Linked DNA regions of Callithrix jacchus. The protein of the gene in region 7 interacts with the protein of the main gene of each other region in a pairwise test. Links are inferred from orthologs where the notes say so. Each region holds a gene or a part of one and is shown on either strand. Other genes may lie near its edges.

What was found.
Region 1: the proteins of CTBP1 (region 7) and CRY2 interact in binary tests that used the Homo sapiens proteins (3 or more experiments, as listed by UniProt). The two-hybrid records come from large-scale screens. The link is inferred for Callithrix jacchus from reciprocal best matches to the Homo sapiens genes CTBP1 and CRY2.
Region 2: the proteins of CTBP1 (region 7) and PRKAA1 interact in binary tests that used the Homo sapiens proteins (3 or more experiments, as listed by UniProt). The two-hybrid records come from large-scale screens. The link is inferred for Callithrix jacchus from reciprocal best matches to the Homo sapiens genes CTBP1 and PRKAA1.
Region 3: the proteins of CTBP1 (region 7) and KLF12 interact in binary tests that used the Homo sapiens proteins (3 or more experiments, as listed by UniProt). The link is inferred for Callithrix jacchus from reciprocal best matches to the Homo sapiens genes CTBP1 and KLF12.
Region 4: the proteins of CTBP1 (region 7) and HEMGN interact in a two-hybrid assay, tested with the Homo sapiens proteins (2 studies listed by BioGRID and IntAct). The link is inferred for Callithrix jacchus from reciprocal best matches to the Homo sapiens genes CTBP1 and HEMGN.
Region 5: the proteins of CTBP1 (region 7) and KLF3 interact in binary tests that used the Homo sapiens proteins (3 or more experiments, as listed by UniProt). The link is inferred for Callithrix jacchus from reciprocal best matches to the Homo sapiens genes CTBP1 and KLF3.
Region 6: the proteins of CTBP1 (region 7) and NOL4L interact in binary tests that used the Homo sapiens proteins (3 or more experiments, as listed by UniProt). The link is inferred for Callithrix jacchus from reciprocal best matches to the Homo sapiens genes CTBP1 and NOL4L.

Annotation. Positions count from the first base shown.
Region 1 is NC_133511.1:110,894,995-110,899,045, reverse strand, and holds part of CRY2 (cryptochrome-2), read right to left. Parts: coding exon 4,016-4,051; intron 3,782-4,015; coding exon 3,630-3,781; intron 3,505-3,629; coding exon 3,302-3,504; intron 2,992-3,301; coding exon 2,899-2,991; intron 1,753-2,898; coding exon 1,613-1,752; 3' UTR 1,611-1,612; intron 1-1,610. UniProt on the Homo sapiens protein: Transcriptional repressor which forms a core component of the circadian clock.
Region 2 is NC_133503.1:164,777,095-164,781,665, forward strand, and holds the start of PRKAA1 (5'-AMP-activated protein kinase catalytic subunit alpha-1), read left to right. Parts: upstream 1-1,451; 5' UTR 1,452-1,456; coding exon 1,457-1,796; intron 1,797-4,571. UniProt on the Homo sapiens protein: Catalytic subunit of AMP-activated protein kinase (AMPK), an energy sensor protein kinase that plays a key role in regulating cellular energy metabolism.
Region 3 is NC_133502.1:40,952,518-40,957,195, reverse strand, and holds the start of KLF12 (Krueppel-like factor 12), read right to left. Parts: upstream 3,080-4,678; 5' UTR 3,030-3,079; intron 1-3,029. UniProt on the Homo sapiens protein: Confers strong transcriptional repression to the AP-2-alpha gene. Binds to a regulatory element (A32) in the AP-2-alpha gene promoter.
Region 4 is NC_133502.1:146,067,402-146,071,951, reverse strand, and holds the start of HEMGN (hemogen), read left to right. Parts: upstream 1-1,680; 5' UTR 1,681-1,730; coding exon 1,731-1,809; intron 1,810-3,598; coding exon 3,599-3,692; intron 3,693-4,550. UniProt on the Homo sapiens protein: Regulates the proliferation and differentiation of hematopoietic cells. Overexpression block the TPA-induced megakaryocytic differentiation in the K562 cell model. May also prevent cell apoptosis through the activation of the nuclear factor-kappa B (NF-kB).
Region 5 is NC_133504.1:155,141,655-155,145,705, forward strand, and holds part of KLF3 (Krueppel-like factor 3), read right to left. Parts: intron 2,148-4,051; coding exon 1,661-2,147; intron 995-1,660; coding exon 844-994; intron 1-843. UniProt on the Homo sapiens protein: Binds to the CACCC box of erythroid cell-expressed genes. May play a role in hematopoiesis.
Region 6 is NC_133506.1:6,763,976-6,768,026, forward strand, and holds part of NOL4L (nucleolar protein 4-like), read left to right. Parts: intron 1-197; coding exon 198-320; intron 321-735; coding exon 736-937; intron 938-4,051.
Region 7 is NC_133504.1:191,958,741-191,962,405, reverse strand, and holds the end of CTBP1 (C-terminal-binding protein 1), read right to left. Parts: coding exon 3,609-3,665; intron 2,932-3,608; coding exon 2,696-2,931; intron 2,150-2,695; coding exon 2,032-2,149; intron 1,541-2,031; coding exon 1,354-1,540; 3' UTR 581-1,353; downstream 1-580. UniProt on the Homo sapiens protein: Corepressor targeting diverse transcription regulators such as GLIS2 or BCL6. Has dehydrogenase activity. Involved in controlling the equilibrium between tubular and stacked structures in the Golgi complex.

The DNA.
Region 1 (4,051 bases), on a different chromosome or scaffold from region 7:
AGATCATGTGAACCTTCAGCGTTTTTCTGTCCTGAGTGCCCTGCTCACTGCCTGAATCCAATTCACTTTTCAGGCCTCCCTAGTGCAAACGTCTGTGATGTGTTCCCTGCTTGCTCCCCTTCTGATAAGCCTGTACTGTTTGTTTCATTTGTCCAGGAATTATAGGTTATTGCTTCTTTTTATCGAAGCAGACTGCTAAATCCTTGTGGCCGGACATCACATCACATCACATTTTATATGTTTAATGCTCCCCCTTCCTCACCCACCTGCTGGCAACAATTTCATGTTGAATTGGACACCATGAACTTACTGAACAACCCTGACCCAGACATTTAACCTCTCTGTTCTCTGGTCTTCTCATCCGAAAATCAGAGTGTCAGCTTGGCAAGTTCCAGATTTGTAATGCAGGATGAACTTTGCTTAGTATCACAGAGCTAAGAGGTATCTGAGAGAGTAGTAGGTTGCCAGTACTCCCAGGAACAAGACAGCACACACCTGTCCATCAGCAATGTCTATGTCAAAGAGCCCAGGAAAGGTGAAGGGTGAAGGCATCAAATGCCCATCTCAGTGAGAACACAAATCCAGACACTCAAACCAGATGGCCCCAGCCTGGCCCTGAAGTAAGAAGGATCTGGAAAAAAGAACCTATCAGCTCCACAGAGAAAAATTACCCTCTAATCTAATGATGAAGACATAACACAAGGAACAGCTTGATGATGACTCAGAGGGGACAGGAATTTACATTTCCCCAAGAATGGCATAAAAGGCCCTTCCTGCTTTGGGAAAGGAGAAGCCAGTGTTCTGACGACATTCAGGAGGCTTCCAAGATGAGCGCTGCCAGGGAGGTGCACGCAAAGGTGATGACAGACTGGGTCTACTGGTCCTCAGGCAGGGCTGGGCTGAGTGAGACACAGCACAGCCTTCTGTCCAGGCTTCTTAAGGTCAGTGCTGCCCTCTACTGGCTGGCCTACAGAACACAGCCTGTGGGAGAAGGGGGTTGGGGAGAGCCTGGAGCAGCCTCCGACCCTGCAATGGGCCTTTCCCCCACTGTTTCACACACAGGTCTCAGCTTTCTTTTTGTTAAGTATGAATCACTTTAATAGGTAGAAGTGCCACCCCCTACCCACCCCATGCCTCCTATTTTCCCTGAGCTAGCATTAACAAAAAAAATAAAATAAAATAAAAGGGCTTGACTTTTAAATCTCTGATAAAAGTCAGAATGGTGGGATTTTTGAGCTAAAATCCTAAAAGTCATGCAGTCCCACCAGATTATCATTATTTTTAGAGATGGAGTCTCACTATGTTGGCCAGGTTAGTCTTCACCTCCTGGCCTTAAGTGATCCTCCCACCTTGGCTTCCCAAAGCACTGGGATTACAGGCATGAGCCACCACACCAGGCCCAATGGTAAAGGTCACACAGGTATCAACCAGAAAGTACTCATTCCTTAAGCCAGGATTGAACCCGGGCTGCCACTATAAAATGGCAAAGCTACAGATGCTGAGCTACAGCATTTCATCTAGTTTGCTGTGTTTTAATCTTTGGCTGGCAGGGCAGTTGCCCTGCCCCCTCCCCTCCTTCCTAAGGTTGACTCTAGGCTGCTGTCACTCACTCTCAGACATCCTTGCTTGGCAGCTCTGGGGTGGGCAACTCTGCCACCCTGGCCCGTTTGCTGAGTTCTTCACCAGGTGGTTCCTCGGCTGCTTCCAGCTTGCGTTTGGGGGATGCTGGGCCACTGGGTAGTGGTCTTGGGCCTGTAGGGAAGTGTGTCAAGGGTCACATAGACTGTGCTTACAGAGGTGTTCCCTGACTGCTCGAATCTCAAGTGACGCAGCAAAATGATCCTACACTGTGTAGCGGCAGCTCTTTAGGGGACAGGGAGCACACTCATCAATGGAATGCCAGCATGCTACGCCCCTGGCCTTGCTTTCGGCAGTGAGTTTTCCTGGAAATGTGAAAGGAGAACATGACCAACCAGGCTTGCTGGTAGCAGGGCCAGCTTTTGGGCCCCAAATGCCACAGGCTGTGGCCAGAGACTGACTTGGCCTGCCTGTTGTCCTTGCTTTGAAGGTGAGGCATTCCCTTGGCAACCCTGAATCAGCCTCCCTGAGCAGCAAAGAGCAGGGCCCCAAGGAGGCATGCTGCCCATGGAGGCAGCCTAGCTGGGGAACTAGAAAAACCCTTGTTCTGCCATCTCATGTTCCTGATCTTCAGTCCCAAGAAGGGAGGAGGCTCAGAATTCAGCGATCTGTCTAGTCTCTCTCTTTGCGGCCACCATCCTGTCTGTGCTGCCTCCTCCCTGGGCTCCCTGTGCCTACTCCAGCCTACACTGTCCAATCTCCACCCAGCAGGCTGGGGAGCTTTTTCAGGCCTAAGTCCAATCATGCCCTGCCCTATTGACTATCCTTCAGTGCACTGAAGGCTGAATCCTAGTCCTCGTCTCGGACATCAGGCTTGCCACATGCTGCTGATGCTGTATCTTCTCATTTCATTCCAGCTCTGCACTGGGACATAGCCGCCACACTGACCTCCCTTTGGTTCCTTGAATTGGCTAAGCTCGGTACTGTTTTTGAGCTTTTCCCTGCTATTCCCTTTGTCTGGAATGTTATTTTCTCAGTGGGTGGCAGGGCTGGCTCCTGCTCATAATGGGGGTCTCTGCTTCCACAGGTGTTCCCTGACTGCTCTAATCTCAAATGATGCAGAGGAAGCCCTCCTTCCCCAGCCCCTCTATCAAGGCACTCAACTTTCTTTTCCTCCAAAGCACTTGCTATCTGAAATGATCTGACTGCTGCAGGTGGAATGTAAGCTCCATCAGGCAAGGCCTCCTTGTGGCCTCAGTCCTGAATGACTGAAGTGGTGGCACAGGCCATGGAAGGCCACAGGAGGCAGCTGCTTCTCACCTGCACTGCTCATGCTCCCAGCCTGGCTCGAGCTGGGCTCTGCCACAGGGTGACTGAGGTCTTCCACACAGGAAGGGACAGATGCCAGGAGACCTGGGAGAGAGGCAGGGAATAATCAGAGTGCTGTCTTGCAGGACTGCAGAGGGTTACAGGGCAGGATGAAGCAAGCCAGGATGGGGAGGGTAGGACCAAGACACTGAGGTTCCCTTTCTTCCCACTGCCCCACAACTACTCAGGGAGGCCCAGTCCATCCCAGCCAGCAGTGTCCCACACCCCAGGAAGGTAGGTCAACTTAGCCTGAAAGACAGCACTAGCCTCCCTTTGCAAGTAACTAGACATCCCCATCTGGCCCCCTGAGCCTACAGGTGCTGTCCTTCCCTTCAGTGAGAGCTTGTCTCCTTACAGAGTCCCCGGTAGCGTGAGAGCTGCTGGTAAATCTGCTTCATTCGTTCAATGTTGAGCCGGCTGGTCTCGGCATGGTTGACGATGGGCCGTGGGTAGTCCACACCAATGATGCACTTGGCTGCCTTCTGAATGGACTCTGGGGCATTCCAGGGCTCATAGATGTATCGAGAGGGGAACCCTTTCAATTTGGGCAGGTATCGCCTGAAATAAGACACACCAGTTGACTCATCAGCATACCTAGATCCTCCTTCAAAGGGCCCGGGGTATCTCATCCTAGGAGGAGGACACAGTGGTCAGAAGCCAGAGAGCCTGGTCTGCATCCTCACCTGATGTAGTCTCCACTGGGGTCCGTGCGACGGCCGAAGCCCACAGGGCAGTAGCAGTGGAAGAACTGCTGGAAGAAAGCACTGCATGACAGCCACATCCAGCTGCCTGCATTCACGCTGAAATCTGCATCCAGGAGCAGCTCATCAAATACCTAAATAGGGGAGGGACGATCAGTCTCCTTGGGGACCTGCTGCCATGTTTCTTCCCAAGTCACCACAGTGCCCCCAGGAGCCAAAACTCTTCTGCTGAAGGCAAGCCACAGAAGATCTAGAGGGGATCTCCTGGACCCAGAAATCCCAACCCATCCCTCAGCCCAGATGGGGGCTGCCCTTTGCTGGGCCTGACCAGAGGGTACAGGCCAGCTTTTTGCTGAGAGAGCACTCACCCGGACCCCGCTCTCCCAGCTGACCCAGAGGTCCCC
Region 2 (4,571 bases), on a different chromosome or scaffold from region 7:
TTGGGCATGAAAAGAAATGTTGTCAGAAAGATATTTTTCTTTCAGGTTAGAAAAAATGGTGCAACTTTCCTGGGTTAAATTCTAGCCATAATGAAAACTTAAAGTAATTTAAGATGCTATCTGGGGAGGCGACGGAGTTTAAGGTTCCCTGGCCCCCATGGGAATCCAGAGAGCTACTTCTGTTTTACAGAGATCCCCAAATCCGGACGTGTATAAACTCACAAGGCAAACAGATGAAAGTGAAAAAACCAGACACCAAAAGTTACAACAGTAACCACCACACCATCTGCCCCCAAATACATCAGTAATCAAAGATTTCTTAACTTTTTTCCCTTCAAACAATGTGCAGTCCCCAGTATAGTAGGAACTTGATTAAGGCTAGCTGGGACTGTTCCCTGTTTATCTGGTGCAATACTAAGCTCAAAGGCAGAAACTTTTGCTTCCCCTGCAATACCTTCCTTGGAACAAAATATTGCCTAATGCATGTTTTATTTCAGAAACAGAGAGGAGAAAATCAGAGTTGGGTAATTTTTGTTGGGATTAAAAATGACATTTTTAGTTTTTTATACTGTTTCATGAAGGTCCTTTTTTTTTTTTTTTTTTTGCCATTGACACTGGCCCAATGCTATGACATTGCAAAATTGAGAGAATATAACAAAACACTTGACTTTGCCTACTAATTAGAAGAGTGAAACTGAGTAACAAACTCAAACATTTTATTTAAAATAAGGAGACTTTATGCTGTGGTAACTAAGTATTACTCATTGCAAGTACAATAAATATTTGTTGATCTGATTGATGTTACCGTAAGCCTCCTTCTCAGTCCAGTGAATGTAAAAATTTTACTGATAATCTAAAAGTATTAATTCCTATACACCACAAGTTCTGCATATCACCCCCCTCTTGGAATACACATTCACTTGCACATCTCCCCAACCAGCTCTTCGCAAGAGAGCTTGCTTTGGGGAGGAAATTTCAGGATAATCTGCAGAAGAAAACGACGACAGCGCTCCTGGAGCCGTCCTGGGGCTCAGTAGCAACTTACCGGCTCAAAGCGAAAAGAGACCGCCGGTTGGGGGTGGGTGGGAGGGGGCGAGGGGCGGGAAACTCCATCACAGACGCAAGTGAAAACTGCGGCTTCTAGATTCCATCCGAGAAAGAAAGATGAGAATCAAGGTTAGAAAGGAGTGGCAGGGCGGTGTCCCCTGCCTTGCTTTAATTCTCGCGGTCCTCGTAACCGCGGATCTGCATCACCCGAGCGGGAGTGATGACTCCAGTCCTCATCTCCCTTCTGGAGTCACCCAGAGAGGGGGTCTTCTCCGATCCCCAAGTGGTAATTAGGGGAGATCACAGCGGGCAGAAACTCCGCCAGAAGAGAAGAGCCGGGGGCCACTGTCCGCCTCAACGTTCCAGGAAGCCCCTCCGCGTGCCAGTGGGCGGGCACCCAGGCCAGAGGATGCGGGGCGAGGAGGCGGGTACCGGTGCCACTCCCGGCGGTCCTCGCCCGCCCCGCCAGGGGGAGCGTCTGCGCCCGACGGCGGCAGCGGGTCCTGGGCGGGCGGCGCAGGGCGGTGGCTCTGCTTGGCGGCTGCCCTCCCGCGTCCCCACCCCCTCCCCGCCCGCCCCCGGCGCGGCCCTGCCCGCCCCCTCCGCCCCCTCCCGCGGCGCCATGCGCAGACTCAGTTCCTGGAAAAAGATGGCGACAGCCGAGAAGCAGAAACACGACGGGCGGGTGAAGATCGGCCACTACATTCTGGGGGACACGCTGGGAGTCGGCACCTTCGGCAAAGTGAAGGGTGAGAATCACTGGGGTTAGGCTGGGCCCCAGGTGGGGAGCCGCAAGACTTCCGCTTTCCGCACCTCTTCATCCTCCCCCGCCCCCTACGTCCCTCCTCTCCGGGGCTGGGTAGCCCCTGTCCGGGCTCCTCTGGGAGCTCTTCCCGGCTGCCACGGGGCTGCGGCGCGGCCAGCCCTGGCCCAGTGGGGGTGGGGGGTGGACCAGTCGCCATGGCGACGGCGCCGCGGCCGGAGGGGCCAGTAGTAGCGAGGGGCGGGGTTGCGGAGGTGCAAACTTTCCCAGGTCGGGCTGGCGGGCGGCGAAGAGCGCTCTGGTGTTGGGAGGAGGGGGCGCCGGGCGCAATCCTCGGGGAGGAGGCCAACCGCGCGTCTGGGTTGTGCTCCCGTGGCTCTGGGCCAGCCCATCGCTCCTTGGCGGTCCTCGGCGTTGTCCGTGTTCCGTCGTCTGTAGGAGGTTGTCGATTACCGGCCCCCGCTGTTTCCCGAGTGTGAAATGTGTTTCCGCAAAAATAAGGTTGCTTTTTGGGTAGCCTACATCATTTTCTTTTTAAAGGCCATCTCGTCGGAAAGGATCACTGGTTTTCTTCTGAGCAGTTAATGAATATAAACTGGTTCAGTATTTGCGATGCATGGTTTACATTCCGAATGAGACTCTGCCTTTAGTGTTTCTGAATTATCAGGAGTTTCTCTGTGCGAAACTTGGTTGTTAGTGCAGATGTTGCCTCCAGATCGTATTCATTACGTTATTAATACAGTTCTTTTCCACTTATTTTCAGTTAATACAGTTTTCCACTTATTTTCAAAGGTTATTTGTATTATGATAAACGATTTATGTGCATATCATTTGAACGTGTGTTTAAAGAAAGATGTACTGGGTGCATTGTACACCATTCGGGTGATGGGTACACTAAAATCCCAGACTTCATTACTTTGCAGTTCATTTGTGTAACCAAAAGCCGCTTGGACCCCTAAAGCTATTGAAATTAAGAGAAAGAAAAGCATGGACTGTTTCAAAGCAATATTCTGGAAGTAAATTTGCTCTACAGCCCACCAATTCTGGCCAAAAACGTTTAATTGCAAGCTTTGCGAGGTATGACTCTTTTTTTCTTTAAAATATTTGACTTAGTTATAAGGGATGTAGAGAAAGGAAGTTTGGAACTAATAAAAATGCTTCATGCATTGCCTTTGGATAAATAGTAGACTGACTTGCATATAGTAAGTTCTTGGTAAATATTTGACTTCAAAGAAAAAAAGTTCGTAAGTCTGTATGGTAACTTAACTGAGACTTGCTCTCCCAGAGCTAAATAAACATTTTCTGATTTTGTCTGGGGTTGTAAGAGACTCTCTTGCCATTTTCTGAGTCATAGAATTGGAAAATTGCTGTATATCCCACAGGGAAGCAACTGCCTGAATCTTCTTGTGAAAATCGGCAAGGCCGACAATGTCCAGAGGAAGTAAGAAGCAAAATGCCAGAATCCGATAATAACAGCTGTTAGGACAGGTCCATATAAGGCCAGTAAGATGTTTTTGTGCCCTGGAAGTTTTAAGTTTATTTTTGGCTATGATATTTCTTGTTAGCAATTACCAACTGCTTTTTAGTTTACAAGTATTTGTAAAAAAATGTTCATTTTTGCCCCCACCCCTTCCCAGTGTTCAGATTGGATTAGGGTGTTCATTATTCCCCCTAATATAGACTTGAATGAAGCCAGGTCTGGTTTTATTTTTCCCCCAAGACGGAGTCTTGCTCTGTCACTCAGGCTGGAGTGCCTTGTCATAATCTCACTCACTGCAACCTCCACCTCCCGGGTTCAAGGAATTCTCCTGCCTCAGACTCCGGAGTAGCTGGGATTACAGGCGCACACCACCATGCCCAGCTAATTTTTGTATTTTTAGTAGAGATGGGGTTTTACCATGTTAGCCAGGCTGGTCTTGAACTCCTGACCTCGTGATCTACCCACCGTGGCCTCCCAAAGTGCTGGTATTACAGGTGTGAGCCACTGTGCCCAGCCTGATCTGTTTTATTTGCTAAGTGGTTTTTGGCACGGCAGGTAGTAAAGCAAGAGATTTTTCATCCTCTGCATTTGATCTGTGATATGGTTGTTACATGAATGTCTCCAGTGACTTTGCTGTTTCTTAACCTTCACTTCTCCACCCACATGTACTTCTATTGGAGTACCATGTTCTGTTAGAGTCAACAAACTCTCCAAATGTACAAAGGCCAATATTAGTCCAAGGATCATGGGTTTCATAGATATGTTTAGATTTGTTTATAATCACATTTGTCGATGTTGATCAGAATTTTTAACCTCTTCATTTTTAAGTTATCTAACACTTGGAATGCTTTTTGCCAAAAGTAATAGAAAACCCAGCTTAACCTAGTAAAGAACTTATCTGTGGTTCTTTCTCCAGAGCAAGGAAGGCCAGCATACCTCTTATGAGTCTTATTGTCTCATCCAGTCCCTCTGGCTAGAAATGCCATCTGCCAATTGGCTTATGCTGGTGTTCCTAAGCAGGCATTAGCAAGGGGGATGGCATTACCCTTAAAAGAATATGACCCACCCTTTGATGTGTCAGTGAGTGGGAGACATCTTTTTTTAAATTTTATTAAAAAAATTTTTCAATAAGTGATTGGGGTACAGCTGGTATTTGGTTACTTGATTAAGTTCTTTAGTGGCGATTCATGAGATTTTGGTGCACCCATCACCCGAGCAATATACACTGCTCCATATTTGTAGTCTTTTATCCCTCGCTCCCCTCCTTCTTTTCCCCGAAAG
Region 3 (4,678 bases), on a different chromosome or scaffold from region 7:
GCTATAAACCCGAAACCTTTTCATATGTGATTCCTAAAACTGTAAACCCGAAACCCTTTCATATGTAATTTCTAAAGCTGTAAACCTGAAATCTTTTCACAGGTGAGTCCTAAAGCTGTAAATCTTCATATGTAATTTCTAAGGCTACAAACCTAAGATTCTTCCATATGTAATATCTAAAGTATAAGCTTATATAAAGGCAGAACCTTCCTTTGTTGGACAAGCTGGGTAATTTGGAACCATCGCCTGGCTCCCTGCCATAATAATAACAACAACAATAATAATAATAATAATAATAATAATAAACCCTTTCCTTCCCCATTCGGTGTTCCAGAGCTCTGTTTCTCACGGCTGCTCCTGCTACACCTACTCCTATATGCTCTCACATCCACATTTTCAGTGTATCTTGGGAGTACACTAGTCCCAGTATTCACCTTGGAGGGCATAGCTAACTTCTGTTTTCTTTGCATACCTATCATTCTTTTTTTCTAATAATGACCCCAGTGGGCTTTCCTCTCCATCATATAAATGGGTAGGATAAATAACTCAATGAGTTCAGACCATTTCTGTTTATAAAAGATGCTATTGATGAAAAGATAATTTTTGATGAAATGGAAAGTGACATATTTAAAGAGACTGTCCTTAAAGCGGAATGACTTTTGTTGAACACCCCTTTTGTGGTATACAGTAGAGTACGATCATAGATCTCCCTCAGCCAGTAACTTATTCTCTGTGTTGCCAGACGTTGTCACCCACAAATCCTCTAGGCATTCTTTCAGATATGTCCACCTGATTTCAGAAATGCTGGAATTGGAGCTCTACCTTGAATTGTCTTTTCTGAGGCCTACTTTGTCATCAGGATTAATCAGAAGGGTGCGTTATTTGTCCAGGTCAGTGCTCAGATTATGCCCCAAAGACTTTTTTTTAAGCAATATGTTCCATTTAAAACATTGTTTAAAAAAAATCCTGATGTGTACTGCACAGTTGCATCTCAGACAGAGTGAGAATCAAAGAGGTTTCCTAGGTCAAGCAGAACCCCAAGCAGATTCCTCCTAGGCCTTTCTGAGGGCCAACTCTGCAGACTAATGAGTGTGTGCAACCCCACGCTGATCCCTTTATGCCTCTAGCTGGATGCTGTGGGATTTCGGAACCCAAGCCTAGTGAGCTACAACACACTGCATGCAGCTCTGTCATAAAAGCACAGGCTCAGCCTTGACCAAGGGCCCAAAGCCAAAAATTCTGTGTCAGAAACCAGGTAATTTCACATCATTTGCACTGTAGTCCCCCTTATCCATACTGTTTTTCTTTTATGGAAATGTTTTTTCTCTTTATCAGTCACTCTGAAGCCTTGCTCCTTCATTCACTCAATTCTAGAGCAATACTTTGTTGCCCTTCTTCTAACCATGTTGTCTCCCTGTTCAGAACTTACAATGCAGAGAGCAAAGCATAGGATGCTATCAAAATGTGGAGTTTTTTCTCTTAAATTTCCATGTTGGTATCAATTACAGCACCAAAGCAATGCCATGGAAATTTGGGGGGTGGGGGAAAGGAAAATGAGTCATGTTTATATTATGCTAGTATATTTTTAACTTAAAGTTTTGAAAAATAAACTATTTAGCATTTCAGTTATTAATCTGAGAGAAAAATGAGTTAACTGTGGAACAAAGAGAGGACGATAATTAAATGTAAGGGGTGAAGTACCTATTTACCACTAGGATGGTATGTAGGGAGACGGCCCAGTTCATTGGAGGATAAAATGAAAGAAGATGTAGGAGACAGTGAAGTGTAATTGATAAACTCAGCTGAGGGTAGAGAAAGAGCTTGAAAGCTAGTGAAGTTTCTTTTAAAAGAACACATGCATTAGGACCTACCAGACATCAAGTTCTACAAGACAAGAAAAAATACTTTTCCTGTTAGAAACTCTACAAGACATTTTCTGTTATTCGGCATTGCTGAGGACAGTTCTTCCACACTCATATTTAAGATGCCTTTCTCAGAGTCTGTGTCTATACAGTCAGAGTTAAGGTGAAAGATAGTAACATCTGGGTCGTTTAATCAGTGTAGCAGGTAGTGCATGATAACCCTTCTCCCTCTTCCCCACTCATTCTCTTTTCCCCAGTAACAGTTTTGGGAGATTTCCCCCCTACATCCTGAATTATCTGGATAATTGTTTCCTGTATTTCATTTTGCTAGAAATCCATAGCTTGACTGATATCAATAACAGTTCTTTAAAACCTCCACATCTGCAGAGAGTACCATAGAGAAAAAAAAAAGTGCTACATTTCCATTGCTTTTGCTGGTTACCTAATGCAAATTTTTTAAATGCTCTAAATTTTAAAAAATTGTTTAGGAAAACATCTGTACAGCCATTCACTGAAACTGGCTTATTTACTGATTACTGATCTCTAACTTTTCTTCATTTAATGTCATGTAACTGTCAGGCCACTGAGGGTCACTAAATATTTAGTTGTTTTTTTCCTTTTAAAATTGTTGTTAACTTAAATAAGAATTGAAAAAAATTAGTGTACTGCCTTGTTCTCTCTCTCTTTTTTAAGTTTAAAATCTGTGAGGTCAGGACTTACATATTCTCTGTTTATAAAAAAAACATCAAAACTTACTCTACTGCTTACAGTTCACTGTGGGTCATTTAATAATATCAGTCAAATTCAGTGTCAGTCTTTAAAAAGAAATCTTTTTCATCTCCCCGAAAATATCTCTAGTAAAACTTGTTTGTCAAATGACGACAGCTTCCTTAACAAATAAAACATAACAGTGTTTGCTGCTCTTTTCCTCTGAAGTGACGATAAATTGCTGGGGAGTAAAAGCCTTCACACTAATAACAGAGGAAAATTGACTCTAAGATCCCATCGTTTTGTTTACCAGCTGTCTTTACAATTCTATAATAACCCAGCTCACATTAAAAAATTGTTCAGAGATAGTAAAATAGACTAGAAACAAATGATCTCTCTGCTGAAATTAGTTTAAGCAGGGGAACAGGCTGGAAAGAAAGATTTGATCCAAAAACTTACCTAGCTCTCAGGCATGATACCCGGTGACCACATAGTCGGTGCTGAAACACAACTCAGGAGCATTACATCATCGTGACAAACTTTCATTGGCTGCAGAAACCCCAAGGATAAGACAGGCTTTTAAGGTGCTGTGTGAAAACCCTTGTTGGTTCCTTATCAGGCTATGACCAAAATATTGAAAGAAAGACTTTTCCTACATTAATGTTGTCATGGCTGAGCTGACTAAACATTGTTAACCATTTCTTATGCATGTTTATCTCCACTTTAGTCACTAGTTTTGTATTTAACTCTAACCTGTTGCAAAATTTTTTTCTTAAAACTACTTGTTTTAAAAGCCTTGTTTTTTGTTAGCGTGTTTTTCTTGAGGGTGCACAGTATCACTCTGTGAATGGCTATTTCCCCTTTTACTCCTCAGACCATCTTTCTTATTTTTAAAAGTACATTTGAATCAATACATCTGTTTTCCTCTCTATTATTTATTTTGTCTTTATTCTCTCTAGGCAGAGGACTAGCACTCACAGATTTGAGAAAGCACAAGTGTGTATTTATTTTGAGCAATTTAATTGGAACTAATGCACAAAGTCCTTACTTCCTAATTATTCATTGTCATTGTTAGTTTTTTTTTCTATTGAACTCTATGAGTTATTTATGTCGTGCTTATTACCATGGTGATTTACAAACCAAAACCATGTGTGTAATTTGAGAGTGTGAGGAGCTTTAAGTGACTGAGTGAAAGTGATAGGATGAGAGCTACAATCCTGCACCACTGCTGCACCAGCCTCTCCTGCCTGAGGGAGAAGCATTTGATGTAGGGAAAAATGCTCTTGTTATAAAGCGGAACATTTGGACAATTGGATTCATCATTCAGGAAATGACAACAGTATCACATTACTATCGAATGTTAATTTCTCTCTCGCGCTCTCACTCTCTGCGTGACTTTCTTTATCTCTGTTTCTGTCTCTCTCAAATTTAAGAGAATAGAGGAGCAGAATGATGACAAGAGTGACTGAATTAGTGTCTTAAAACTATTTCATGCCCTCTCTCTCCTAAGAACTTGATTCTTTAGTCTCTTAAAGATAAGCAAATACACAAATACCCTATAAAATCCTCAAGGCTAGTAACGTCGAACTATGTTTCTAGTGCATGTCTGGGCTACTTAGCTCTGCTGTGAATACTCTCTTATTACTTTCAGTCTCTTCTTAGCCATGGTTCTCCGCCATGTGCCTTGGGTGAAGCCAGTCTACCTATTGTAAGAGAAGGAGTGGCGGCTGAGCTTATGACCTTGCTTCCATTGTTAGGAACATCTTTCTGCTATTGTTCCTTAGACCTCTGGTCTGCAAGAATAGCCAGTGTGATCCTTTTTTTTTTACTGGTGTAGATTAATACTGAGGATTCAAGGGCCTAGATTAGGGCCTTGAGATATTTAGAAACATTTCTAATAGTGATGAGGAAAAAGAGAGAGAAAAAGAAGAGGGAACTCTCTTAAGTTTTCTCCTCTGAGAGGAAGGAAGAGATAAACCAGCAACAATCTCTCTGTTTCGCAGTAGGATTTACAGAGTAAAATAAGACCTATACCTTGCCCTCACGATGTTTCGTACAAGGAGGAAGAAAAATAATAATCCACAATGACTATTAAAGTCCGATAAAAA
Region 4 (4,550 bases), on a different chromosome or scaffold from region 7:
CTCCCTGAAGTTATCTAGATTTTCAGATACAGAGATTTACTTAAGAAAAAGACCAGGGAACTGAGAGAGGTAAAGCTAAACATTGGAATTTAGTAATTAAAAACCAAGTTAAATGTTAATGGCAGATACTTGGGTGTTTGTTATATCATTCTTGATACCCTTCAGTGTATTTGATAGCTTGTTTCTCTAATATGCTTACATCATACACACATTTTTATACCCAGGAAAGATTAAGCACACAAAATGATAAGCTATCTCCTAATCTGTAAGAGATGCTGCTGGCAATAAGTAGTAAGTATAGGTAACTCTATTCCTTGGCTCTCAGTTTCTTCATATATAAAATAGGGAGGGACTGCATGATTTGGGGCTCTCCCAGTTCCAATGCCTTAAGACTCCATGGAAGTAGTGGGTGTCTATTCACATTACAAAGGTCTTTCTTTATAAAGAATTCTTTTCAGATTTTCTCTTTCTTTAGTGCATTTAAACTACAACTTGGTTTACCAAAATCTGGTGACTGTATTTTTATTGGCAGCTAACATTTACTGACCAAGTTAAATATGCAAGTCACACATCAAATGCCTCACATGGATTAGTGGACTTAATTATCCCAGTAACTTTATGAGGTAGATATCAATATTGTCCCCAAGTTATAAATAGGTACATTGACTCGAAGGCTGTCTAACTTGCCTCAGGTCACTGAATTAGGGAATGACAACACTGGAATTCAAACTCACTTCAATTCAATATGAATACGAACACACAGATTAACCCTGCGTCTCCCAGACTGGCTTCCTGTATGAGGAGGTGCTCAGGGTTTCTTCCTTATTGAACCATAGGCTCCTTGTCTTCCAAAATGGGGTGACTGCTTGGAGACAGGATGTTTCCTTTGATGATCTTAACTTAATTTCTGTGATACAAGGTAGTGATATTTTCATTAAGAAATAATTTTTTACCTTCCCCTATATGAGTAACAATGGATTTCACCAGTTATCTTGAGTCACTTGTGAATGATTTGGTGAGCAAAAAAGGGTACAAAATTACTGTGAATTTCTAACTTGGTTCTTTATGTCTATTTCTTATCTAAGTCTAACAGCATACACAGCAAAACTGTACATTATTTTGCAACAGATTAAGGTGAAAAAAATCCACATACAGGAAACCATGTAAGATTAATATATATTCATACTTTCTAAAAATTTTCACATCCATTATTTTCACTTTCACAAGAACTGTATGAATTAGGCAAGACAGAAATTATTTGTTCATTTTGCAAATGCAGAAAGAGAGTCATAGAAAAGGGGGGTGACTTGCTTTGGGCCACTGTGCTGGTTGGAGCCTAGATTGTGTTCTATACCAGGCCACCTCTGTCTGTAAAAGGAACATCGGATCCAGACACTTCCTGGCAGATAGAACCAAAGAGTGCTGACTGGAGGCTGTGCCATGCCAGGCTGTGGCCAGAGTTTCCCTGTATAAATAGCAACCTATGCTAGAGGTTGCTAGCACCAGCCATTTCCCCTGCTCACACCTGTGCAGTGTGATAAAGAAAGTAGAATTAGCCTGAAGTTGTGGTCCAGCCAGATAAAACTTTTAGGCGGGAAGTCAAGCGACAGGCAAGCTTGTATGTGTGGTTTTTTTTTTTTTTTAAGTGTTAGTTGTTTTTGATATTTTTAAAAAGCGTTTAGACTGGTTGTGGAAGTCAGACCAAAATAGCAGGAAGGTATTACAGCAAGATGGATTTTGGAAAGGACCAATCTTGTTTGAAGCACCATCAGACACTTGATCCTCTTCAAGAAGAGAACCATTCTCCAGGTAATGAAAAATACCTTAAGGGCTGGTGGCTATTGGGAAGAATTTGGGGTATGATAATTTTCTCTTTTCAGTGGATCTGGCCAAAAAAAAAAAGGAAATACATTTAAATGAAAGCTAATGAGACGACCCTTTCATCCAATAATTTCATTAGATGGTTGTGGTAAAACAAGTGAGTTCATACATTTCTATGGTAGCATAAATTTGGTCAAACGTTTGGAAAGAGATCTGGCAATAAGTGGTGAGAGCTATAACACTGCTCATTCTTTTGACTCACTAATTTCAGTCCTTGGATCTATCCTAAAGCAGCATTTCTCAAAATGTTTTGTGGAACCTTAGGCCTTCAGATACTCTAAGACATTGTTTTAAAATTTTTTTGCTCCATGGATCTCTTTGGCATTCTGATGAACTCACAGACTCCTTCTTTGAATAAAAGTTTTAAAGGCATAAAATTAAATATATAAAATTACAAAGGAAATAATTATATTAAATACAAATATCAAAATTAAAAACTGTGATATAGTAATGTACATATGATTATTTATAGATGCATTAGATAACAATATCCAGTGGTGGGTCTAATAATAATAGTATCAAGTCAAATAAATAATAGCCAGTAAGTGATATTTTAAGGTATCTGCAACAACAGCAATGTTATATAAAAATATGTGATTTCTTTATGGGGTCAAAGCCATATACTGTGGGGGAGGGAGAGCATCAGGAAGAACAGATAATGGATGCTGTGTTTAACACCAAGGTGATGGGATGACCTGTGCAGGAAACCATGGCACGTATTTACCTACATAACAAACCTGCACATCCTGAACATGTACCCCTGAACTTAAAAGTTGAAGGAAAAAAAGTCATATACTGCCAAAACTACTGTGGTTTGTTATCTACATTCATAATTGAAGGAAATGTCAACTTTAATTAGATGTTGGTAAAAATAAAGGTATAATTTTTCTCTATAAAGAGCCTTCAACCATGGTTGAAGGGGCATGCTCTATCCTTCAGAGGTCCCAGTGCAGATGTGCATCACTTCACAGGCTCTAGGAAGCTCTACATCAAAGACTCATTAATTTTTCTCAACCTTAGTTGGCAGCAGAAACTTTTTTGATCATACCCTTAATTTTCCAAAGACCTTGAAGAAACACCATTCTAAGGAAAAAATCCAAAAGAAAAGCTATATGCAATGACTATGCTTATTATAATTTGATATACAAGGCAAAGATTACTAGCAACAACCTACATGCTCAATCCAAGAGGAAGCACTGGGTAAATGAGAGTACATCAACTAGATTATGTATTTTATTGTCATTAAAATTATCATTATGAAGACTACATCATGGAAAATAGTTCTAATATAATGTTAGGTTAATAAAAAGATAAAATTGTGGTATGCTATTCTTACAACTTTGTATAATAAAAGGAATGGACAGAAACGAGTAATAAAATGAAAACAAATTATCATGTTAAAGACAGCAAAATATGGCTGCTTTTTTCATTATTTGTACAATATGTAAACTTATTTTGAAGAAATGAATAGGTTGGTAGCACATTTATGTACAAATACTCTGTGTGAGTATGTCTCTGACGTTTTCATTCAAAAACATTTGGTGAATGTCTGCTTCCAGGCTTTCTCCGGAGATACAAAGATAAATGAGATGTAGTCCTTGTCTTCAAAAAGCTAGGAGGAAAACCTAGCATAGAGATTCTGCTACTTGACTATAGGACTTTTGCTGATAAACACCACAGTTCATCACTTTCTCTAATAACTTTCATTTTATTACAGAAGTCATTGGAACCTGGAGTTTGAGAAACAGAGACCGACTTAGAAAAAGAAAAGCTGAAGTGCAAGAAAAGGAAACATCACTATGGCTATTTGGGTATGGTAGCATCACAAGGGAAAGGGAACTAATATATTTATTGAGGATGTTATGCATCAAGTAGTGCTCTGCACTTATATACACTGTATTTTATCTTTCCAACGATCCTGTAAATCAGGCATTGTTATCCCTATTTACAGAAAAAAAGAGACTAAGCCTCCAGTGAATTAATTACCTTGCCGAAAGTCACACACACAGCTGGTAAATGGTGGGAACAGACTTTTTTCCCCTGGTCTCTTTTAATTAAAGCACGGAGTAATCAAATTATATTGTAGAGAAGCCTGGCGTTTAGCTCCTATGGTAATATAAACATAGAAGCATCTTGCTGGGAGTGGGAAGCATCACTGAAGAAGCCTCCAAGATTGTTCTCCAAGCTTTCTATTAGCTAAATTTTTACTGAATGAGTGTGATTAACTCTCCATGGAGTAAGCCAAAACATTTGCTGTAAATGAGTGACAGAGAGTTTAGATCACCTGTATGTTTACCTGTACGTAAACACAGGAAGGGAGTACAAGAGTATGGTTATAAGTTAGGCGGCATCTAATTGCATCCATTTCAAATATGACTGTGACAACTGGGGACTTGCTTGCTTGGAAGGGGAGCCCAAAGAGCCAAAAGTGCAGCATCCATCTAAGCCAAAGTGTCTCCACCTTGGCACTGCTGTCACTGTGGGCAGAATTGTTGTGTGGGGCTGTCCTGTGCACTGCAGATGTTTTGTAGTATTTTCTGACCTCTAGATGTCAGTAGCACCTTCTACCCCAGTTGTGACAACAAAATGTCTCCAGGGGTGGTGTGGGGGGGAGACAGGCAAAATCACCTCCAGTTGAGAACCACTAATTTAAGCAAAGCACTTGTCCT
Region 5 (4,051 bases), about 37 Mb from region 7:
AGCAGAGGTGGGATCCTTGTTGGACCCAAAGACCATCTTCTTAGCAACTACAAACCCTGCTCTTAGTGTAATCACTGGTAGAGGTCAAGGTTATCTACAGCAGGATCTTACAAATGAGGTTACTGAACCTGTGTGTGGCACTACCATCTTATACCATGTTAGACCTACAAGAACCCACCATTCAGGTGGTTGGATGCTGACCAATACTGCACAGCCTTCCTACTGGATGGCAGTTCTATAGGATACTATACACTCTGTAGGCAGATATGATTAAAAAGACCAGAGAATAGTTCTTTCAATGCTGGGCTTCCCTGAGCTACACAGATGACTTTTTGTTGCCACCACTATTTCCAGGACTTGTTCTGGAGCATCTCTTTTGGGCTTGTGGTTGGCCTGCAGATGGTGATTACAGATATTCCCCATAATAGAAACAATATACTAGGTTAGAAGTGACAGCTGGGAGGACTATGTATGTCCACATGAACACTTTATATGACCCAGAAAACACCAAATTTAATCTACACAAGGATTCTCATCATGGAAGAACTATGTATACATAGCCTGGAAGAATGGAAATAAAAATAATTCATGTGGTTAGGTGCAAAATCACAGATGACTGATTCAATGAAAACTTGATGTAACTTTTGTCATAATGTTGTCAGTGTAACAGAGCATACTGTTTTTGGAGAGATTCTCCCATCTTGGCCAGGGATACCCAGCCAGTGGCGGCCACAGACAAGAAGCCATTCACACCACATCACGTATGTGAAATCTTGTGCTTCCGTTCCAGGTTCCAAGATGCATGCTACTATGCAAATGCCGGGTAGACCTAAATATACTTACTCTTGCAACAATGCTTGCGGGGGGGACACTGAGTTCATTAAGGGGGGTGACATTTCTTCAGGATAATAATCTGTCCTCTGTGGTTCGATCCCAGGTTCTATTTTAATTTTTTTCTGTGATATCGGCTTCTCATATGATTCAATTACAGGTACTAAAAAACAAAAATAGAAAAGTCACTCCATGTACAATTTACCAATTTCAGCTTATAAAGGTTTACTGCACAGCTCCTATCTACTATACAGATATGAGAAATGTATTTGCCTGTGGCAGAATTATAGCAGGAACAAATCTGTGGGAGATTCTTGCTTCTCTTGACCATCATTTTGCCGGTAAGCAGCAAATACAGGGACCTGGATTCTAAGACACCAGCCCTGAAATGATTCTTTCTTACAATTCTGGATTATTTCCTTTTAAGACTATAGTCTTGTCTATGACCAGTTAGTAAACAAGGTGGCTGTTGATTGGCATTAGTTTTCACCACAATCAAAAAGTGTTTATTAAATGCCTTTGTACCTAGAACCACGTTGGGATTCAATAAAGCAACCTAAAGTCAAGGTTCTTTCTATCCCCAGGTTGACTATTACACAGTGAAAGTAATCATGTCATGGTATCAAACAGACAAGCCTGATTCTTGGGATCTCTTCCAGTATCAACACTTTAGGGGAAAAAAAGGAAAAATGAAATGCCTTAGGCAGATGAGTATTTCCTTTGAAGAGTTCAACAGCCCTTGCCCCGTGCTTCCTCACCCAGCCCGTCTGGTGAGGCGCCAGTACACTAGTAGGCAAGTGCAGCGGCATGGAGCAGAGGCGGAATTTACCTTGCATGCTACTGCTGGAATTTTCCATTTCTTCTGACAAGGAGACCATGAGAGGCTGTTGGAGGTGACTTGTGTACATAAAGGGGACGGGCTGCACCACCACTGGCTGGATGACGGGCAGGATGCCTGGGCTCCGTATTCCGTGGCGCGAGAGGGCAGCTGCCATCACTGGCGGCATGGACAGTGGCACGCCGAAGGGCTGCACTGGAGAAGGGGGTGAGTATTTTTTTATTGGTGGGCTAGAAGAAGGCATGCTCAATCCAGGCGAGGCTCTCCGGTGTGAGGACGGGAACTTCAGAGAGGAGGGCGAATTCCCAGCCGACGAAGGGGGTGAACTCCGCTTGTTCACCGTGAGGTCCACTGGCTCCATCTGTATTCCGTGCGACAGGCCTTCTGGGGTCTGAAAGAACTTATCAGGCAAAGGTGTAGAGTAGATGACCCCATACTTGTTGGGCTTCATGGATTCCATGTAATTAGATGGGTATGACTATAGGAAACGAAAAGGAAAACAACGTGTCAACAGCCAAATAAGTGCATTTTACTTGAAACATGAATTAAGACAAAAACATGCTAACAAGGCACTTAACAATCCCATGGGCTTTACAAAGTGGTTTAGATTTCGATATACACTTGACCTTAAAAAAATGCTCTCGGAGAAGTGGTCTCAACAACATTAAAAATACTACCAGAGCTGGGCGTGGTGGCTCATGCCTGTAATCCCAACACTTTGGGAGGCTGAGGTGGGCAGATCACCTGAGATTGGAAGTTCGAGACCAGCCTGACCAACATGGTGGAACACCGTCTCTACTAAAAACACAAAAATTAGCTGGGTGTAGTGGCAGCTGCCTACAACCCCAGCTATTTGGGAGGCTCAGGCAGAGAATCACTTGAACCTGAGAGGCGGAGGTTGCGGTGAGCCGAGATCACGCCATTGCACTCCGGCCTGGATGACAAAACAAACAAACAAACAAACCCCAAAAAACAAAGAACAAAGAAAATGCTACGAGAGGCAGTCTCATCAACATTAAAACTAAGATCAAGGTGGCCACTACTGCACATGAAAAATCTGAAATTTAACCCCAAGATGATTCCTGTGTCAAACATTAAGGCTGATACCTGGCAAAATTTTAAGACAGGCGCTAGCACAGGCATGGGGGCCATTATCATTAGGAGTCAGAGCTGGGGTTCACCAAGAACCAGCCAAGCCAAACCAACCTGTTGCTTTTCTGGTGGGGTTTCTTGATAAGCAGGAAATGCTCTCTAGCTTTAGTCTCTAACTTCAGCAGGACAGTGATTTCTCAGGATAAGTAGTCTTTAACTTCAGCAGGATATTGATTGCTCATCATACTTGTATATAATAAGGAAGAATGGGGCTGCATAACAGACCGTATCTTTCTTTTGAAGGGCTTCAGCGGCTGAACAATCCATGCCTAGAATTGGCCAACAATCCTAGTCGGCCTTAACTGTCCTGCTTTCAGCACTGAAAGTCCCACATCCCATGAAACTCTACAGTCTCAGGCAAACCAGGAGGGGGTCAGTCACCATACACACCTCTGTCCTGAAGGCCACCCTCACTGGGGCAATTATGTCCTTGGCCCTAACTTGCTCAATGTTCTTATTCAGAATCTGAATGAAGCTGTAGACTTGAATGCCAAGTCTGTGGGTGACACAGAACTGTAAGAAACAGCTAACGTGCTATGACTTGAATAAGGAAATGTGGTGGTCAGGGTCATTCACACAAGCTGAGGCCCCGTGTTCTCTCCTCTACACACTGCTACCCATTCATCAAATGAGGCTGGGGGACAAACAAGGGAGAGAAGAGACAAGAGTCTGTTTCCTTCCCAAGATCTGATACACAACGGACCTCATTTATCTTCAAACACCTTTCTCTTTTAAAATACCACAATAACCTAACTTTCATCTGCCATCTTTAAATACAAACCAATCATAATAATTTCACACTATGGGCACTATCCTTGACTATGGAGTTCACCTAAATTACTTCTATTCCTTAACTAACATTTTGTTGTAAATTTTCTTTGTAGAATGCAACATATTTTGATTTTTAAAAAAATTAAACAAGACAAACCAACTTCTTCGCTCGGCATTTTAGGGAAACTGAAATTTTGCATGTCAAGCCTGCTTACCTGCAGAAAATTCTTTGTACTTGAATGGCTGACATTGACATTGATAAACAACATATGGTGCTTCTCTTCCAGCTCTAAAATCCTAGGTGTTTGTGATTTAGAGGCAATGCTAACTCGGGATGCAACAAAGAAACCCCCTCAATGGCACCTTAAAATTAAACCACCTAAATGTGCTATTCATTTCTGGGCCTCCTAAGCCCCTGTAGGGGCCACTATTGTGAGTTATGATTGTGGGACAGCAGTG
Region 6 (4,051 bases), on a different chromosome or scaffold from region 7:
TGAGTCCCTCTGCCCCAGCCGACCTCCCGCCGCACTCCCAGGGTGCCAGGGGGCCTGGAAAGATCACACAGCTCCATAGACTGAGGCGCGGGAGCCCAAACCCCACCCTGTGCCACCCACCCCTGGGGCAGGGTCTCTGCACAAGCCCAGAACCTCCACGAGCCCTGTGCCAGCTCCATTCCCCATTCTGCCTGCAGACCAGACCCACGCCACCCCACCTGACCTCGGCCATGGCAGAAAACATCCTGGCAGCTGCCTGTGAGAGCGAGACGAGAAAGGCAGCCAAGCGGATGCGCCTGGAGATCTACCAGTCCTCACAGGTACCTGCCACCACAGCTGCAGCAGGGGCCACCCCGGGAAGCCAGAAAGAGCAGTCCTCAGACGGGTGTGGACTGAGGGAGCTGTGATGGGTGCAGTTGGGAGAGGGCAGAGGGGGAACAGGAGGGCAAAGACGAGGAGGTGGGTGGAGGTCAGGTGTGTTCTCAGAGGTCCTCAGACCTCATGTGGAAGTGTGGGCTCCATCCTGAGACTGGAGGGCGCTGGTCAAGTGAACCCACAGAGAGATGAGCAGAGTTGGGGGAAGCCCCTGGGGCGAGACAGACACAGTCTCACAGGTCAAACCACAGCATTGGGTCCCAGGAGTCCTGGGGCCACAGCGTGTATCCACCTGGTGTTCAGGGATGGTAGTTGGGCCTGGTTACCCGTTTCCCCAGCGCCACCCTCTCCCCTCTGCAGGATGAGCCCATAGCCCTGGATAAGCAGCACTCGCGGGACTCCGCAGCCATCACCCACTCCACCTACTCACTGCCAGCCTCCTCCTACTCCCAGGACCCCGTGTACGCCAACGGCGGCCTCAACTACAGTTACCGCGGGTATGGGGCCTTGAGCAGCAACCTACAGCCCCCAGCGTCCCTCCAAACAGGAAACCACAGTAACGGTGAGTTGCAGGAGGCCTGGACTCTGGCTCCTTGACCAGCACCCAGCTGGGTCTGCAGAGCACCCCGGGGCAGGGCAGAGGGCAGCAGAGGCCAGTGACGGAAAGGGGCTGCCTCACAGCCTGGGGAGCAGGAGGGGCCGCTCTGGCACCCTCCCACTTCATCATCTCAGCAGGTCCTTAGATGGGGAGGTGGAGGAGGTTTCAGCTGGTTAAAGCAAACGCCTCCCACCCTCTTCTCACCGCCAGTGACACTGGCTCCAACGCTTCCTGCCTTCACTACCAGTGCCTCTCAGTGGTTCCGCTACCCCAGGGCTCCTGTGGGTGCCGAGTCCCAGCCAAGGGCCTGTTCTTGCCCTGAGTTGAATCTCCACAGCCCATTTCACCCATAGTGACCGAGGCTCAGTGAGACATTGCTGGCCTGCAGGTCAGCTCCCTCCCCAGGCCTCAGCTCAGGGCCTGCCTTGTGAGGTAAGAGATTTTCTCACCCAGGTGCTGGGCCTCGGTCCTTGCCCCTGCACTCATGGAGCCCACATGGAGACACCCAGGGTGATGGCTGCACACCTGCCCCCTCACTCCACTCCTGTAGCCGCGTGATCCAGTCGGTGCTTTCCCGGTAACTTCCCGGGAGACTCTGCGGCAGATGCAGTGCAGACCATTAGAGGAGACAGTCCCCGAAGAGACGGAGTCAGGTGCTGCTGTGAGCACGAACTGGAGTGGGGAACCTCAGACCCCTTTCCTGGGAGGCAGCAGCGGAGGAGTGTGGGTAGCCTGATGGTCACAGGACCTCCTGGGCCAGACACTCTGGTTTTGTTCTCTGTGCAGAAGAGCCCCTACTAGGTTTTAAGCACAAAAGGGCCGTGAGTTGGGCAGTCTGCCATTCTGTCTGCCCTTGTGGTAAGAAGGTTTGAATGGGGAGGGCAGGAGGCTGAAGCCACGTGCTTTGGGGGCTGTTCAGAGGCCGGGGAGTGAGGGGAAGAATGGAGTTGCCAAGTCGAAGCGTGAGTAGGTTAGAGAAAGGTGCCACCTGTAAGCCGGGGAACCCTGGTGCATGGTCTTGGCTAAACATGCCAGAGGATTCCTTAAGCCCCGTCCCTGGCTGCAGGAGACCACTGTTCCTGGACGGCAAGGGCGGGAGCTAGTCCCCAACCATGGCAGGAAGCCCAGACCGCCTCCACTTGCCTTGACCCCCACCCCCCAGAACGAGGAAGTTATACACAGGTCCCTGTAAGATTCCTGCCTAGGCTTAACTCCTCATCCCTTCCTAATGCCTCTTAACCTAAAATAAGAGGCCGCCTGGCCCTAATCCCTGAAGCTAAGGCCAGAGCGGCCAGCACAGCGAGAGGTAAAGTGCTGTCCTAGGCGGGCTCCTTTCCTTCTGGGAAGAAAAGCCATCCCACAGCCTTGCCCTCCCTACACATGGGGGTCTGGGACCCAATAGGAGAGGTGAGGGTGGCCTGGGACCTGCTCCATTCTAGCAGCAAGCGATGGTGACAAGCCTCTACCTGGTGTCACCCAGCATGACCGTCTCAGGGCTGCGGCTGCCAGGTTCCCAACCCACCTAAGGGCTTCTCATGGTGGGGCCAAGACTGCTTCATGCCCGCCCTGTTCACACCTGTGCAAGAGGCATGAACGGCAGCCAGAGGATGATCCCTCCAGGGAGGCAGCTGGCTCTGCCCTTGTGCATCCTGGGGCCTCGGTCTCCCATCTGTGAATTACCCTGGTTCCTTCATGGTGGGTGGGGAGGCCACTGAGGCAGAGATCTGGTCATTGACCTCACCTGGGGCAGCCTCTGTCCTTGAGCACTAGTACTGCATTTGAAGAACATTGTTTAAATCCTCTAGCAGTTGAAGGAAGACAACAGGCAGCCATGTGGCTACAGGCCACCCAGCCCCGCTGGCCTCCCCAGCCTCAGCCTTTCCAATGATTGTTCAATCAGTTTGGTACCTCCGCCGGGCAGCCGTACTAATGGCTCAGAGCTCCTCACTTTGTTCACTACGTTATCATCTGGAGATGCAATCAGCTTAGATAGAATCAGGCTCAGCCTGTCTTGCCTGGGGTGCTGGGTAACTCACGCTCACTCCTATCCCTCTACCCACTATCTGGCAGTTACCCGGCCACCTGAGCATCTGGCTGTAACCAGAGCCTGCATGTGGATGTCTCCAGATCAGATCGGCTGCAGGAAACAGGGACCTTCTCCTTTTCAAGCCTCAGCTACAGCCCAGGAGAGAAAGGAGAAAGCTCTGAGCATAGGCATAAACAGGATAGCACTTGGGGAAAGGAGGAGAAAAGAAAGGGACTGTGGCCACTGCTCAAGTTGACTATGCCAGGAGGCTCTGGCCACTCCCAAGCATGATGCAGAGGGGACCAGCGCCACCCTAGAGGGAGCCAGACCCTCTCCTCCCCATCCCTCTGGGTCCAGCCCCTGTAATATCCAGAAGCCAGCAGAGGTACTCCTGTTCCCAGCTTCCCAGTCCCCTGTTGTGACACCTTAGGCATCAGTCACCTGCTTGGCTGCTGTTTCCAGACAGCCCCAACCCCTTCCTCCTGTGTTTAACAGACTTAACTGTTTCCTTAACTCTCGATTCCAAGGACACTGTTTAGAAAATGGTTCCTGGGACCTCTGCCTTGGTGTCCACATTCTCTGGTCAGAGGAAATAACCCCATGTGACAAATTGACCCACCTTAGAATCCAACTTCCTTCCCCATTTGGAGGCCGCACCAGCTTCCTTTTAGCAGCAGTCAGGTTTCCATAATTTCTCCCAAGATGTTACTTCCATTCTGGATACCTCCAATGACAAGAGCTCGTCCATCTCTCTTCATAGCAGCTAAAAACTGCCTTGGAGGCCAGGCACAGTGGCTCATGCCTGTAATCCCAGCACTTTGGGAGGCCAAGGTAGGTGGATCACCTGAGGTCAGGAGTTCGAGACCAGCCTGACCAACACGGAGAAACCCCGTCTCTACTAAAAATACAAAATTAGCTGGGCATGTTGGTGCATGCCTGTAATCCCAGCTACTCAGGAGGCTGAGGCAGGAGAATCACTTGAACCTGGGAGGCGGATGTTACAGTGAGCCGAGATCTTGCCATTGCACTCCAGCCTGGGCAAGAAGAGCAAG
Region 7 (3,665 bases):
TGGTATCAGAGTTCATCTCAAAAATGAGCTGGGATTCTGCTGACATGCATGGACCACACTTCCAAAGGAAAGTCTGAGGAACCAGCAGGCTGGGATTTCGAAGAGGTTCGGCTGTGGGCCAAGGTGAGGAGTGACCCCTTTCGGCTTTTTGGCACATTTCTGTAGGCTGGATGACCCGTGGACTGGGCAGCTTCCTTGGCCCTGACGTCTGCTTTCCCTCCTTCTGTGGCCCACAGTCTTCCCAGGTTGTAGGCCGGCCTGAGGGAGGTCTGCCGAGAAGGGAGGCGGTGGGCCGTGGGGCAGACCTCAGCCAGTCAGACCATCATCAACACAACGGCCCGGCCTGGCACAACGCTCCCCTCCCACAGGGAGGCCGCCTCCAAGCCACGACCCTACAGTGTCCCACAGATGAAGCGGGCAGAGGCCACTGCCCGACCTGCCATGTCACTGTCTCTGGGTCTCTCTTGGGCTTCCCACTTCAGAGAGGCTGAGCTGGGCCCTGGAGGTCACCATAGCCGGGACTGAGGCTAACCCGTGTCCTCGTGAGACCGTCACTAGAACAGACGCTAGGCACGCGGGCTCTTTCCGGGATTTTTATTTCTTTAAAATAATTCATACAAATGGTTACAGTCACAAACATGATTTTAACCAAAATATTGCTAGCCTACCACATCAGCAGGACGGCACCGGTGCAGGCGGGACGCTGCCACCCCCCACGGCTCCAGGACAGACGTCGACGGGCAGCGGGCGTGCCGGGCACCGCCCAAGCTTCTCCTCCTGGAGCTGCTTTGTGATGCCGTCTTCATTTGGAACAAGGGGGGTTCATGCCAAAATTAGGAAAAACAGCCTTTGTTTTGTTTTTCTAAATTATTCTAAAAATAAGACAAGCAGGTAGAAAAAACAATGCACTGTGTGGCATAAAAAGAAAAACGGGAAGGGTTCATTGTCCTGAGAAGTTTGCCAACTGCCTCATCCGGGGCACGTTCCAACATAGAAAAGGAGAAAATGACCTCGAGTTGACTTCGGAATGCTCCCTCAGGTTTTCCTTTTGTTGACAGCTAAGCAAACAGATCCGTTGTAATGTTCTAAAAACTGTACACAGACAAGAACGTTCATGGGAGAAAAACTACTGACTTCTTCTGCTTAACGAGGAACGCGAAGGACACAGGACAGAGAGCCCACGGGACGGACGACGAAAACCGACACGGGCCCGGCGCTGCCCACCCGCCTCCTGCACTGCCCGACAGTCTCTGCAGCGCCACGGCCGCCACGCAGGCACCTCCTCTGCACACTCTGGTCCGAGGGGCTTCCGGCCCTCCGCCCAGGCGCCGAGGCTGGAGAGCTCCTCCCGGGCTACAACTGGTCACTCGCGTGGTCTCGATCCGCCTCGGGCTTGACAGTTTGGCCAGGAGAAGGGGCGTGGGGCGGGTGGGCCACAGGGGGTAGACCGTGGGACAGGGACATGGCGCTGGGCACGATGCCTTCCACAGCAGCTGGGATGCCAGTGGGGGCCACACCCACCACGCCAGGAGGGTACCTGCTGGGAGAGGGTCCAGCCGTGGGGCCCACCTGTAGGCAACCTGGCCGGGCCCCACCTGCCCTCACACTGGCAGTGGCACCAAGGGGGCATCTCCTGGAGGACCAGCAGTCAGGGGGAGGGTTCTTGCCTCTGCATGGACGCTCCTGCCCACGGGAGCTACTTCTCAGGGCAGGGGAGGGGAGCCCTGGTGTCTCCAGGCAACTGGAACATGAGGTCCTCACCTCACCCAAAGCCCCCTGCTCCCATAGCCCCCGTGCCCACAGGCCTCTGCCCAGCAGTCCTGTGTCCACTGGGCCCTGAAGGCCACCCAGCCCAGGCTCCTTCCAAGGGGCCCTGGTTCTTGTGGGACTTTTGGGTGAGGTGGGCACCAATTCCACCCAGATCCTCCAGCTCAGCAGAGACGCCGCCCCTCCTGTCAGGGGCTGTGCTGGGATCCAGGGGAAGCCACCCACCCTCATGGAGGCTGTTAAGTGCCCAGTGGGTCTGCTCACCTGTAGGCGGCCCCATTGAGCTCGGGGTGCACGACCGCGGGGTCCATGCTGGCCCAGTGGGTGGCGGCCGTCAGATGGTCCTTGTTGACACAGTTCTTCAGGCTGTCTGGGATCCGGCCTGGGAGACGTAGGAGGGAGGAACAGCTGTGGCTCTGAGGGGACCCCAGGAGCATGGCCCACTGGGTTGAGGACATGAACTGCAGCGCCCTCGGCCCTGTGCTCCTGCCCTCGGCCCTGGGGCTCCCCAGGCACAGCTGGGTACTCTTGGGGGCCAGCACCCTCACAGCGTAGGCAACCCCCAGCCCAGAGCATGTGCCCAGCTTGCTCAGGGGCCTGTCTGCTCAGCCCAGGAACTTCCCAGAGCAGCTCACAGGCCCCAACCGGCAGGTCTTGTGTGTAAGACATGGCTCCAGGGCTCAGCCTGACTTTGGCCTCAGAGGCCCCTGAGGGGCCCTGGTGAGAGAAGTGAGAACCACAGCCCTGAGCTGGCAGAACATGAGCCCGGATGCTGGGCAGATGTGAGCCCACAAGCACCTGGGGCTGGCAGGAAGGGGGCCCCCAGGCTACCACAGGTGGGTGCAGGGCCTGATGGAGCCACCCCCGTGCCCACCTATGATGGCTCTGCGGAGCTCCCCAGGCCTGACCGAGCCGCCCCCGCGCCCACCTGTGATGGCTCTGCGGAGCTCCCCAGGCCTGACCGAGCCGCCCCCGCGCCCACCTGTGATGGCTCTGCGGAGCTCCCCAGGCCTGACCGGGCTGCCCCCGTGCCCACCTGTGATGGCTCTGCGGATCTCCCGTGCTGCCTCCTCTCGCATCTCGATGGATGCCTGCTCACTGTACCATGCAGCGTGGGGGGTGCAGATGAGGTTGGGTGCGTCCTTCAGGGGGCCCTGGCTAAAGCTGGGAACAGCACCGGCATGGTCAGTGCAGCCCAAGTGTTGTGCCTGCGTTCGGCGGGGGAAGGTGGCTGGGCACTGGACCCCCGGTGGGGAGGGCCCTGCCTGGGAAGCAGACCCCACGGCCTCTGCTCTGCTGGGCAGGTGGGCTGAGCACAAGGGCACAGCCTGGGACAGTCAGACCCACTGGGGGCTCCTGACAGCAGTGGGATTTAATCTCCAAGCCCTCAGGGGAGCAGCCTTGATGGGGGGGACATACTGGCCTGGCCCCTCTCCACCGAAGGGTCTGTGGGTCCCACAAGCTGATCCTGCCCCTGCCGAGGGTATCTTCTGTAACTAACATCCAGCCCAGGGCTGCCTGGGGTCCCAGAGCACTGTTTGCAGGTAGGGATGTGACCCCGTGGCTCCATGGCCAGGGCCGTCGGGGACCACTCACAGACACTGGAGCCTCATGCTCTCCTGGCTGGTTGGGAGCCCTGCCCAAAGAGAGGCTGCGGAGCACAACCAGTGCCTCCCAGCATTGAGGCAAGGCAGGCCTGGAGCCCATGGCTCCATCCTCATCACACAGTGGAGGGCAAACTCCCCCAGTGCTGGCTAGCAAGAGGCTGAGCAAAGACAAGTGCCTGGCCTGGCAGGAAGGTGGGCAGGGAAGGGCAGGGACGGCACCAGCCGTGGGGGCACCTGAAGGGTTCCGACTCGTGCACGTCCAGGGCCGCGCCGCGGATCCGGCCCTCCTTC